Linked DNA regions of Canis lupus familiaris. The protein of the gene in region 2 interacts with the protein of the main gene of each other region in a biochemical or structural test. Links are inferred from orthologs where the notes say so. Each region holds a gene or a part of one and is shown on either strand. Other genes may lie near its edges. The genes, in order: UBE2W, TRIM21 and USP4.

Region 1 (5,137 bases), on a different chromosome or scaffold from region 2:
AAATCCACAAGAGTAATTTAACATTTCTAGAACTATCACAATTAAATGTAGATGTTTCTTTACTCTAACTGCTGCCAATTTTAAGTATTGCCAGAAGTCCACTATTCTCTAAGAATACTTTAAAACACCATCTAACCATAATCTCAGTAATTTGTGACTTCGTTCCCAAGAAAGAATATCTCTAAGGCTCCAGTAAGTTTGAAAATCACAACCATGAACTGTATGAAGAACAACTTTAACAATATTATTGAGCAGAGCATTCCCAGCATTACAGATGTGCCAAAATAACTGTATTCATCTCCAACAGTTTAGTGCGTCCACCATAGTGTGCGATTCAAAAATTATTTTCTACGTGCCGCCATCTGAGGAAAGGTTGGGAGACACTGACAGAGTGCGTTAAAGGAGTTAAAACCTCAACTGCAAAATCCTCTCCAAGGAAAAAACCAAGGTCTATCCTTACTTGTTACTGATTCTCAAGACTAATTTCGTTTTTATCAAGTAATCAAATCTTATATTACATTTCTATAATTTGTATGTCTTTAAAATAGTTCTTATAGCTTCAGTAATCTCCTCAGCCGCGATAACATCCTGACGACCTGGCGTAAGATAAAGAAATCTGAAAACTTTTTAGGTAAGGACATGGTTAGAGCAGCATATGTATACTTTTTCCTAAGCACTCTGACTGAAATCCCCAAAACATCCATTTCCTAACCTCCTTCCATGCTTTCCCTTCATAGCATTATCACCTTCTAATATAATATGCAATTAACTTAAGTATTTGGTTATCTGTCTCCCCCAACTAGACTATTGTATCCAGAGCAGAAATCCTTGTCTACTTTTGTTCACTGCTCTATCTCTAGCACTCTGATTAGTAGCACAGTAGGGCCCTTAAAAAATAATTGAGTAAATAAACAAATCCAGTTGTTTTGAAAAGAGTGAAATTTTGCTATTAAGGGGCATCTAGCTGGCTTAGTTGGTAGAGCAGAGTCTTGATCTTGGGGTTGTGAGTTTGAGCCCCAGGTTGGATGCAGAGATTACTTAAAAAAAAAAATAAAATAAAATCTTTAACACAACATTTTGCTATAAAGATGGTCAGGAAAAATTTTATTCACCAAAGACGGAATAACCACACAGAAACCAGTACTGAATTTCGAAAAGCTTGATTTATCTATATTAAAATTATTTTTCAAGGTACTGTCAGAAAACCTGTATCTGAAATATCTGTATCAGATATTTCGAAAATACAAACAAGCAGTGGGAAAATACCTAAAACACAGAAAATTCCACTTATTGCAGTGGCAAATATTTTTTTTTCCATTGCTCAAGTCACCATGTAAAATTCAAGATTATCAACATTAAGTCCTGCACTGACCCAATTCTGTATTCACTTTTTTCTCTTAAACCGGGAAATTTGTTTTTTCAGACCCTCAAAGTTTACATCTAACCAGCTAACTAGTTATCCCTATAATTGTCTTGTTAAATATAATCACAGGTGCTGTGGGTTTAACCATAATTTTTAGTCTTGAAACAAATTATTTTAATCTTAATACAAACTATCTTAAATTAGTCATATAGCCCATCTACTGTTCAACTAGTGTTCCACAGTTCCTTTTTTGGCCTCAAATGACGAAACCTCTCTAACGTCTCTGGGGAGACCAGTGTAAAGTATAATGTTTCCTCAAATTGTTCTTGTTTTTTCCCTGCACCGTTTTGTGACATCCCTTCAAGTAGGAAAGTTAGACATTTTTCTATTCTTCAGGAAAGTCCAGAAGCAGCAGCAACGGTAAATAGAATATCGCATGGAAAACTGGTTGAAAGGGGATAACACAAAAGCACAAAAGTAAATGTGAAGCAAGTATGTACGCAAAAGAGGAAGATGCAGAAAAGAGAAGAAAAAAGTGTTCTCGCCTAGAAATGAAAAACAAACCAAAAACAGAGGGTGGGGGAAGATAAGAAGATTTGCTTATTCTTCTAGAAACAAAAGCACTGAATCCTAAGAAAAACGTGGGTCTCTTTAAGATGTTAAAACTCTAAAAAGCACTCAGCTGCCACTCCAAACAACAGTTCTATCTTCTCTCCCTAGGTGTTCTCATCAGAGCTAGTCTTCATTTGTAAAATTAAATGCAGGCTATAGATAAAGCAGAGTCAATCTTTACAAAACTGCAGTGGTGGTTGCCATCTTTGCCTGGGGGGAAAAAAGAAAAAACAAAACAAAACAAAAAACCACAAAAAAACAAAAAAACAAAACTCCTTGGATCTGGAAAAAAAGGAGCATATTAAGTTGGAAAGCCAGAAACCCATGAACTGCTAAGTCAGGCAGCTATGACACAGGTTAATAAATGCCTCCTACCAAACTAAGATTCCACTAAAGATCTAGGGAAGAAGGGCAAAGGGCTGGAGCTTTACCGCGACCACAAGGGTGGGGCACCGCAGGGAAAGAAAAAAAAAAAAAAATCTGAGGGCGAGCCATCCCGGAGGTATAAGGGGGCTAGTGACTCAGATCTCGGGGAGACTGCCTCTTAGGAGGCAAATGATGTTGAAGGGCCAAGGGCAGCCTCGGGAGAGCGAGTGCGCTGCCGCACTAAGGTTCGCAGAGGGTGCGAAAGCTAACAGAGGAAGGTACCCACGGGGCAAAGGAGTGAGAGTCAAAGAGAGCAGGGCCGAGCGGTCGGAGCAGCTGGGCGTGGGAGGCCTGAGCAGAGGCCGCGAGGCGCTTCTGCAGCTGGCCGCCGTCCCCGGAACGCCTTTTCAGCTCCCCCCCGCCCCCGGCCCCTCTCCGGGCCGCCCTTGCCCCAGCGACGACGGCCAGAGCAGCTGTTTCCGCCCGGCCGGGGACCGCGGGGAAGGCATCCCCGGGGCGGGCGGGCAGGCCAGCGTCAGTGTGAGCGAGAGGCGACCCGAGACCACTGCCGCCACGCCAACGCCAAACTTCACCCCTTCCTCCTCTCAGCCTTCTTTATCCCCCAACTTCCCGGCCGGCTGGTGTCCGCTTCGACCGCCCGAGGACCCCCCCCTCCCCCGCCCTTCTTCTCGCCGCCTCGCACCCCTCCCCAACGTCCTGAAGCCGGGAAAGGACTGGCCACCAGGGCCGCTCCCGAACCCGCCCGGGTGCCCCAGAGTCCCGGACGCCGCCCCCGACAAAACGCTTGCGTCCTCTCGGCGGCTCCCTCGCCCGCCCAGATGCTGCAAACTCCTCTCACCTGCATTGACGCCATGATGGAACCATCCCCCCAAGGCCGGCGAGGCCAGAGACGCAGGGGGCGGAGCCGCCGTGCTCGCGTCACGCCGCGGGGGCCCAGCATCCTGGGCGCCGGGGGCGGGGCCTCCGGTGGGAAGGCGACGGCGGGAGGGGATTGGCTGGCGCCCCGGCGGGGGGAGGGGCGGCGGGAGCGCGGTCAATGGCGCTGTTGGTACCCTCGGGCCCAGCGCGCTCTCCGGCGGCCGCGCTCCCTCGCCGCCGCGCCGGGCCTCACCTGGCGACGGCCGTAGGTTTTTTTTTTTTTTTTTTCTCTGTTTACCCTAACATCTTGATGATGCCCAGCCCCGTTGGTTTTTCTTTTTGCTTTGTTTTTCCAACCGCTGGTGGTGTGGTTGGAAGATGCTCTTGGACGTCTTCTCCACCGCGCCAGGCCCATATTCACACCTTGGGGCGCGGTTCCCCTGCCCGCGGGGCTGCCTTTTACTCTTTACGGTCTGGAAGGCTTCTCGTGTTCCCAGTGTCGGGGGAGAAAGACGCATGTCGTTGTACAATGGGATGAGGACGGAGAGCAAAACAGTACGTTGGCATTCTAAGGGCCAGGGTGGATTTGTAGAGCTGAAACTTGCCCGAAAGGGAAGAGACATTTTTAAAGTTTTTCTTTGGTTCGTGTGCTGTTGTTTCCCCCTTTACACCAGCCCCTCGGTTTTAAACTAAACGGGTATCCGTAATAGTTAGGTTGTTACGGCATTCACATCTGTGTAGGGATTTGACCCTAGACGCGATTGTTTTGTTTTGTTGTTTTGATGGATCTGTGCACTTTGTAGTATACACTTGACACCTTTTGTCACATCTGGACTTGGCTTCAGCCTGTTTCGTGGTGGGCAGTTCTGTGGTCATTTGACCTAGGGATGTATTTGAGTAGGGAGAGGTGAGCATCCAGAATTTTTTCTGGAATGCACCAGTTCTGCCAACATTTATCAGAAGCCACCTTTTAAAAAGCTATGCCAGGGACCCCCGGGTGGCTCAGCGGTTGAGCACCTGCCTTCAGCCCAGGGTGTGATCCTGGAGACCTGGGATCAAGTCCCACGTCGGGCTCCCTGCATGGAGCCTGCTTCTCCCTCTGCCTGTCTCTGCCTCTCTCTCTCTCTCTCTCTCTCTCTCTCTCTCTGTCTCTCATGAGTAAATAAATAAAATCTTAAAAAAAAAAAAAGCTATTCGACAACTTCAGTTGTCATTGGTTAAGAATAAAATGGAAGGGGATCCCTGGGTGGCTCAGCGGTTTGGCGCCTGCCTTTGGCCCAGGGCACGATCCTGGAGACCGGGGATGGAGTCCCGCGTGGGGCTTCCTGCGTGGAGCCTGCTTCTTCCTCTGCCTATGTCTCTGCCTCTCTCTCTCTCTCTTTCTCTCTATCATAAATAAATAAATAATAAATAAATAAATCTTTTTAAAAAAAGAATAAAATGGAAGCCAGAGGCTTGCATCTCGTGTTCTATCTTTTAAAGATTTAGATGGCTGATACATCTAGTAGAAGGCTTTTTTGCTTTACCAGAATGAAAGCTTGAAATCTGTTGTTTTATTAACTTGGAGCTGTTGTTTAGAAATTTCTGTAAGATTTAAATATAAGACCAATGTAGGATATCACCCTTCCCACTCTAAAGATAGATCATTATGTTCTCTGGGAAATTCCCTAATGTAGGGGATCCCTGGGTGGCGCAGCGGTTTGGCGCCTGCCTTTGGCCCAGGGCGCGATCCTGGAGACCCGGGATCGAATCCCTCATCGGGCTCCCGGTGCATGGAGCCTGCTTCTCCCTCAGCCTGTGTCTCTGCCTCTCTCTCTGACTATCATAAATAAATAAAAAATTAAAAAAAAATAATTCCACCCTATTGCCAGAAATGAGCTGGTATTCTCTTTGTTGTGCAAAGTGACGGTGCCCTTG
Region 2 (3,744 bases):
ACCACTTCTGGGACAAGGCCAGCCCACGTGGAATATATGGTGTTAAAAGGGTGCAAGCTGGTCTGCTTGTGAAATGAGACCTGCCACCACTGCAGTGGCAGGGACCAGGCCAGCCAAAGCAGATCTGCAAAGTGATGGGCAGGGTATGCACTTTAAAAAGTCGTCTTCTGGAGGTGGCCTGCTCTGAGATGAGAAACTCTCACCTAGGTGTTTTTCAAGTGGCTTTTTCTATGCTATATCTCCAAGGGCTGTTTGTGGGGCTCTGTAAGGTCTGGCACTCAGCTTCCTGTCACCTCAGGGCTCTCCCAAGGCCAGGTCACCTGAATTTTAAAATTCTAGGCTTTAAGTCCCACTGGTTGTAAGAACTGACAAAATTCAGCCCTTCTAGTTATTGAAGTCAAAGGTTATGCGGATTGATCTTCCCTGTGCAGGTTCCCTGGTGTGATAGTTTGCTTCTTGCCCTTCTCTGCTCCAGCAGATCCCTTACTCCTGCAGGTGGTCCGTGGTCCATCTAGCTCCTGGACATATTTCCACCCTTCCCTACCCTTGTCAATGTGGCCTCTTTTCTATCTTTACTTGTGGTTTGTTCTGCCAGTCTTCGGGTCATTTTCTGGGTTATTTACACTGATGTGGGTGTTATCTAGTTGTATCCATGGGATGAGGTGAGCTTAGGGTCTTCCTCCTCTGCCATCTTCCCAGCTTCTTCACCTGAGATTCTATTTTAGACACTCTGGTTGCTGGAAGGATAGCTGTACTCTCAGGGCTGTGTATAGCACTTCTTCCAACTGTAAAAGCTTAAACACAAGAGTGTTTGCTATCAACAGGTGATACTGTTACTGCAGTTCTGACATTCACACCAATCAGTTTGCCAAAGAAGCAGAACTGGTAGGAGATAAATATGAAGAGATTTATTGTAAGGAATTCGCTTATGCACTTGTGGCGTTTGGCAAGGCAGGTCCTAAATCCACAGGGCCAGGCAACAGGAAGGGCAGGCTGTAACTGTGGCAGGAGCTGAAGCTGCTATTGGTAGGAGGGTCGTCTTCAGTGAACTTTTAGTTCTGCTCTTAAGGTCTTTCACTTGATTGGATTAGGCCTACCCACCTTATCCAGGAGAGTCTCCCTTAAAATCAAACAATTATGGACTTTAATGACATCTACAAAATACCTTCACAGAAACATTGAAAAACTGGGGGCTTATGGCCTAGCCAAACTGACATAAAAAAATCCATCCTGCCTTCCATTTAGATTGATACACCTTTTGGCCAACTCCATTATCTACAGGACATGGTTGGGAGAGCATGGTAGGGATGGGGGAGCACAGGGGCTGGAAATGTAATGTGGAAATCTAAGGCATGCATCATTCAGGCTTTATTTTTAAAGGATGGCTGCTTTCTTTTTTTTTTAATAGGTATGGAGCTACTTATGCTCTGATATGTTTATGTTGGAACAGTAATCCTAAATGTATACAAGAACAAGGATTGAATGTGATAGATCAAGACCCAATACATTTAGGAGTCCCCTTTGCAAGCCATGCAAGGTGTATAAGAGATCTTACCAAAGGCCTAGAGATGGAGAGGAGAAAACAAGACTTGGGTCACATAAAGATGGCAGAGACATGTTTTGGTTGATCCAGGTGATTTGGGCCCAACATAAGTAGTTTGTTTCATGGAGGGAGTCAAAGTAATGTAGGGCAGTAATCTAGGGCAGTAATCATTCAATACTGATGTTGAAAATCATTTTATGTAGATTTTCAGTGAATTCCCTGCCACAATCTGCTTGCTGGTATCCCGACACCTCTACAGAAACAAAGTGGTTCAGAGTTCCTGGGGAAATGGGGCAGAGTCAATGGCTGAGAAAGACACCAACAGTCGGTGTTCAGAGAGTGCTACCACTGCTCCATGGATCCCTACGATCCCACCTCCAGCGGACAGAGCACAAGAGGTGCTGCGTTTCTTCCTGCATCATTAAAACCAGTACCAAAGAAAGGCCGCAGAGGTCCAGCAAAGGCACATTCAGAGAAGGTATAGATGAGGGAGCCATGGTCAGTGATGTTGTAGAAGGAGACTGTGTGGGCCTCACAGTCCAAGAAGATCCCAACTTGGCATGGAGGCACCTGAAGGTGGAGGGGAGTCTGGGGACAGGTGCCAGCCTCATATTTTTGTTTGTTCCACAGCCAAATTGTCCAGAAGCCGTTCCCAGGGCTGAGCAAAAAGTGCCCCTTCCTCTGTGCAGAATCTGTACAAACACCCAGGTCCCAGGCCTCTTTTCCTCTCACATCCACCTCCCAGTAAGCCTTTCCAGAGTCAAAGCACTGGGCTCCCAGGACCATGGGATACATGTCAAATCTGCTTTCATTTTCAGGCACTTCCTGCTGGCTGTCTCCAAGCCTCACTTGTCTCCGATCCTCTGAAAGGATGAGCCATGGATTGGCTGTGTGTGGATCCAGGGTGATGTGTACTGCAGAGAGAAGCCCACGGTCAGGCTGGGAGAGGAAGGGGAAGCAGGAGCCCTGGGCCTGTGGTGGGGGTAAGGATGAGGGTGACCATGAGCCGCACTGTGGGAGAAAATAACCTTCAGGCCTGACCTTTGAGGGAACCACCTCTCTGTCCCTGCCTCACCTACCCTGACCTGCCAGGGACTCACTCTCCACCCTCATCACCCACTTCATTCCCCAGTCCCACACTCCTGGGGCTAGTCTCACCTCCATACGTCCTCAGCATCGTCTTTAGCCCTGGCACGAGGCACACACTCCTCAGACCCGGGGAGGTAATGTCCAGCTCCTTCAGGTTCCAAGCCTCAGTCCTGGGGCAAACAGTTACAGACCTTGTCTCCATCTCCTGCCCCACCCTCCTGAGCCCTGACACTATAACCTCCTTTGTAGGTAACAATTTAATGCAAATTTATAAGCACCTGTGTTAGGATCCTTGGGGGTGGGAGGCAAGAAGATATAGGACATAGTTCCTATCCAGGCCCTCCTGGTTACATGGGCCCCCTGAAGCCCCCTGACGCAAGCAAGCACATTCTGTTTCATTTTACAGGTTAGGCACCTGATACAGATGGAATTACTTCTGTAAGGAACCCCAAGGAGTCTTGCCCATGCAGCTGGTCTCACATGGCTCTTCCTGGGAGATTTGTAACCAGCTAGATTCTTTTTAAAGAAAGAGTCCTAGCAGGCTGCAGACTCAAGATTGAACAGAATTTCCCCTTTTGTTGGGGCTTCACTTCATAAAGCTGTTATGGTCCAATTACTTTGGATAACTCACCAACTGATGTTTTCACTAATTAGCCTCAGACCAGAAAATATTTTATGGGCTATTGGGTCTTTGAGAATAGGGAGAATGGGGAAAATATCAGTGCATGTCTTTCTAATGCAACAACCTTTTCCACAGGTATATATGCTTCCTGCTTCCCACTCTTCTTACAAAGAAAACCTCTCCTTACCTTCCCAGGACACTTTTCACCTCCTGAGGAGAGAAAAAAACAGAGTGTAAATTCTGGATCACTGGTTTACCGTTGAGATCTCAGTTCTGTGGGTGAGGTGATGCTCCCCCTGAGGCCCATGGGACATTGTTCTACTCTATTCCTCTAGGCCATTACCTGAACTATTTCTCCCAGCTTGGAGGAGAAGGAATGTGGATGTTTGTGGAATAACAAGAGTAACCAGCATGGGTGTGACCTACAGCCAGGGAAAGGATGACTAGTTTAAGGACTCTGATTCAGAAGACATATTAGAAAGCTCAGACT
Region 3 (4,512 bases), on a different chromosome or scaffold from region 2:
CAGGAACTCAGGGCAGCCTGCTGTAGGTCTTCATGGCCACCATCCTCAATTACAGTGTTCCTCTCCATTCTTTGGAATTCATCGGCCTTACTCCACTGTGTAGCCCCCCTCCCAACCCCCACATTCCAGCTCTACAGGTCTTACAAAAACTTCTCACCACCTGTTTAAAAAGAAAATAATTCAGCCTCTTGACATAACCCTTCTGAGCAAACAGGGTCTTTTTTTTTTTTCTTCTGCTCATAAAAGAAGGGGATTTCCTCATCTGGTTTTTAGACCAAACACTAGTAGTCTTCAGGGTGTCAAAGATGTTCTCCTGGGGGATTACACTGGTGCTGTGGGGCGGCAGGATCTTGGAGGCAGCATCAGTTGGTGTCCATGCTGCAAGCCTCATCGTCCCCCATGCCCTGCTGTGAGCTGCTTGGGCTTGTCCCTCCTTCAGAGGATCCAGGAAAACTAGCAAGTGAAGGCGTCTTATAAAATTCATCATCTCGACGTTGGTAAAAGAGCACATAAGCTGCTTTTGTCTATAACACAAGAGGGGAAAAAGTTCATTCACTGGTTGGAATTACCATCCACTCTCCCTGGCTTTTCTCTCACTGTTCAAAACCCACTCTCAGAGTTTTGCCATCTTGCCCTGTGCATTCAGACAGAGGCAACAAGGAAGGAGACCCTGCTCAGAGAGTGGGGAAAGGCCGGTACCCTGTGACAGAACCCAGAGAAGAACCTAGCTTCTCATTTAGGAAGGGTCCTGGAAGGAATGGCAGTCAACTCTCTACTACACCCAGCTCCCATTGTCATATCAGGATGACCAAATAACCACCACCCAGGAGGCTCTTCCCAGCTTTAATCCATCATCAAGGTAAGAGGAGGAGCCAAGTATTAGAGCCTACTCACCACTATCTGATCTTCAGAGGCCAGGGACACGTTGCTATCATCAAAATAATACCACTTCCCGTTCAGTTTGTTCTTCGCATATGCAGTATCTGCCAAGTCAACAAAGAAAATACCTCTAGCAATCACCAGAGAACTAATCTGGCTAGTTTATTAGACTTGCACTAAACAATAAAACTCTAAAAACACAAAACATAGGCCCTGAAATTAAGAATAATTTACAGGGCAGCCCTGGTGGCTCAACAGTTTAGCGCCGCCTGCAGCCCAGGGTGTGATCCTGGAGACCCGGGATTGAGTCCCACGTGGGGCTCCCTGCATGGAGCCTGCTTCTCCCTCTGCCTGTGTCTCTGCCTCTCTCTCTCTCTCTGTGTCTCTCAAGAATAAATAAATAAAATCTTAAAAAAAAAAGAGAATAATTTACAAATACAACCAAGATAAACTAATTTTTTTTTTTTTTTTTTGAAATCTGTTCTTTCTTGAAAAGAGTAAAAATGGGGCACCTGGGTGGCTCAGTTGATTAAAGCATCTGACTCTTGATTTCAGTTCAGGTCATGATCTCAGAGTTGTGAGTTCAAGCCCTGCATCAGGTTCTATGCTGGGTAAGAAGCCTGCCTAGGATTCTCTTTTTGCCTCCCATCTCTTTCTCCCCTCCCACTCCCACTCTTAAAAAAAAAACAAAAACAAACAAACAAAAAAAAAACGGCAAAAATGGAGTTGTCACAGACCAAGGCTTTTTAAACTGTTAATTTTGGGAAACTAATCAAACAGAGAAATCAGTATCAATCTTCAGGATGGCTATAAGTAATAATCCAGAGCCAAGGACCCATAAAAGCTGATGAAGTTTAAGATTTAAGCAAAATGGCTTTCAAAAGAACAGACCAAATCAAACTCCACTTGGTCCAGGTAGATGGCTACTACTGCCTCTTCCTGCCTCCAGAGTCTCTGGGGTAATCCCAGTGAGGGATACACTGGGCGTTCAGGCTTGCAGAGCTGGGATGTGAACAAGATGGCTTAAATTTTATCTTTCTCTGAGAATCAAAGTCTGTGGCTGGGTAACAATTCCTCACAGTGGTCCAAGCCTTCCCCACAGCCAACACTTTCTATCTTGATTTTATACTATTCTCCAGCAGGATGTTTGTAAACAGCAATCCCAGCAGCAATGAGTAATTCCTTGCCCACCCCACCCTCTACCCCAGACTCTACAAAATGACTGTAATGGAGAACTGGCTGTTAGTCTCCACCTGCTGCATGACGCTGGGCCAGCCATTTAACTCTCCAGTGAGGACTGGAGTGCCTACTGCAGAGATGAAGAACACAGGAAAAGGTGCCAAGGACCTGTCCCTACATTTGGCATTACAGTAATAATGATGGCTCTCAATCCTGGAGTTCCAACTGTGGACCTAATGTGGGTCCTCAGGCAACCAGCCTGATCTCATGGACGAGAGAGAACACCGAAGGATATGGAGGCTAAGGAACTTGCCCAAGTGGTATGTTTATATACTAAAACTTTTAAAAGTTATTTCATTTGGCATGCATGAACACAGATCCCAAAATTAATTCTGGAAAATTAATTTTTCTGGAAAAAAGCTGCATTAAGTGCTGCAGGGTATGATGTGATGAGGGATCACCAATAGCCATTCTAGGAGAGCCCCAACTTTCAAACAGGCACAATTTTATTTCCTAGCCTCTCCTAAAGCTACATGTAACCACGTGCCCAGTTACAAGCTAATGAAATGTCCACAGAAGAGCTGAGGGGGGACTTCTAGGAGGCTGCCTTAAAGGCGGAAGGCTGCGCCCATTTTTCTCTTCTTCTGATAGTGTGCAATGTAGACATGAGGGCCAGACACTGAGCAGCCATCCTGAGCCATGAGGTGATACAGTAAAAATGGAGGGGCGAGAAAGCAGACTGCTGGGCTGAGAGAAAAAGTGTCACAGTATAGGGAAGAGGTCTGAAGCTTAGGGAAGTTCTATAATTTATTGTTGAATGTAAAAGGAACTGAAACCTCCTGTGCGGCCATCTCTGGGGTCCTAACACTGGGTGTAGTGGCAGTTGTCATGGTGTAGATGCAGCAGAGATGTGAAGAAACCCAGCTCTTCACTTCAAGCATCACTAACACCTTTCCACAAACAAGTAACAAAATATACGAAGTCTTTTCATTAAAAAAGAAAATGTCCAGCGGCACCTGAGTGGCTCAGAGGTTAAGCATCCAACTCTTGGTTTTGGCTCAGGTCATGACCTCAGGATCATGAGATCGAGCCCTGCATCAGGCTACACACTCAGTGCGGGGGTCTGCTGGAGATTCCCTCTCCCTCCGTCCCTCCCCATCGCAAGTGCTGGTTCTCTCTAAAATAAATAAATAAATAAATAAATAAATAAATAAATAAATAAATAAATAAATAAATAGTTTAAAACAAAACGAAACAAAAACCTACACATTCTAGACATTTTGGAAGATAAGGTAGAGCAAAGAGAAAGTTTCGTTGATTTTTGCTTTAATATAGTTGTGATATGAGCTTCTACAGTGATATGAGTTTGAACACGTCATGGGCATTTCCCCATGTTTATTGTTTTTTTTTTTGCAATGGCGGTGTTCTCGTCCATCAAGTAGGTGGACAGCAGTGCCAACTGTTGGCTTACCAACACAGCTACTAAGTTTTCACTGTTATAAATAGGGGAATCTTTGTGCATTAAGCTTTTTCCCAATGTCAAGTACTTTCCTTAGGATAGATTCCCAGAGGTCGGAATTACTTGGATTCAAGAATATGAAGACTGGGGTGCCTGGCTGGCTCAGTTGGTGGAGCAAGGGACTCTTGATCCTGGGGTCATGAGTTCAAGCCCCATGTTGGGTGTAGAGACCATTTAAAACTAAAATCTGGGGGGGGGAGCCCCATCCCTACCCCCAAAAAAGAAAGAAAAAGAATGGAGAAGCAGCAGTAGTTTGGACCAAGCCTGAAACCTTGACACTTGAGGCCTGAAGGACTAAAGATAAAGTACTGAGGGCAGGGCCTGGCACACAGGAAGAGACCAGTGAGACTGGCCACAGGCATTTCAACATGTCAGAGATGGCAGATGCCAGTACTTACAGTGGCCAACTCCCATGGCTCCGTAATGATTAGACACGGCAATGAGGTCGTACACATAAGGCCTTGCCGACAGGTCACATACAAACTCGGACATGTTCAGAGCTCTGAGCACAAAACACAAAAATGGCCTTTACTGCATCAAACTAGAGAAAGCAGCTGGAGTAACCCAGCAACCCCTTCTCTGCACTAGGCTAGGACACAGGGAAGCAGAAACAGTAACTACATCAGGAATGGACAGCCAGGCTGCGTGGCAGGGGCCCTGTGGGCTCGTCTGACCACTGGCCTATGCAGGCTGGAGAGAAGTTGCCCGGCTAGCTCCAAGCACCAAGCTAGCACCAGTAAGGAAGGGCTCTGGGCATGGAGAAGAGGGCTGCAGCAACTATGTAGGAAGGGCAATTAGGATCAAAATTACAGTTGATGCCATAAAAATTTAAATACCAAAAGAGGCCCCAGAAAACTTTTCTCCCCAACATTTTAGTTTGAAAATTTTAAACACACAGAGAAGTTAAATTTTACAACAAATCCTCCTGTACCACC

What was found.
Region 1: the proteins of TRIM21 (region 2) and UBE2W are reported together in a solved structure, tested with the Homo sapiens proteins (2 studies listed by BioGRID, with this or other methods). The link is inferred for Canis lupus familiaris from reciprocal best matches to the Homo sapiens genes TRIM21 and UBE2W.
Region 3: of the proteins of TRIM21 (region 2) and USP4, one has a biochemical effect on the other in vitro, tested with the Homo sapiens proteins (2 studies listed by BioGRID). The link is inferred for Canis lupus familiaris from reciprocal best matches to the Homo sapiens genes TRIM21 and USP4.

Annotation. Positions count from the first base shown.
Region 1 is NC_049250.1:22,894,311-22,899,447, forward strand, and holds the start of UBE2W (ubiquitin-conjugating enzyme E2 W), read right to left. Parts: upstream 3,310-5,137; 5' UTR 3,303-3,309; coding exon 3,201-3,302; intron 1-3,200. UniProt on the Homo sapiens protein: Accepts ubiquitin from the E1 complex and catalyzes its covalent attachment to other proteins.
Region 2 is NC_049242.1:26,900,906-26,904,649, forward strand, and holds the end of TRIM21 (E3 ubiquitin-protein ligase TRIM21), read right to left. Parts: intron 3,465-3,744; coding exon 3,442-3,464; intron 2,803-3,441; coding exon 2,702-2,802; intron 2,458-2,701; coding exon 1,907-2,457; 3' UTR 889-1,906; downstream 1-888. UniProt on the Homo sapiens protein: E3 ubiquitin-protein ligase whose activity is dependent on E2 enzymes, UBE2D1, UBE2D2, UBE2E1 and UBE2E2.
Region 3 is NC_049241.1:40,355,201-40,359,712, reverse strand, and holds part of USP4 (ubiquitin carboxyl-terminal hydrolase 4), read right to left. Parts: intron 4,080-4,512; coding exon 3,976-4,079; intron 984-3,975; coding exon 895-983; intron 525-894; coding exon 363-524; 3' UTR 1-362.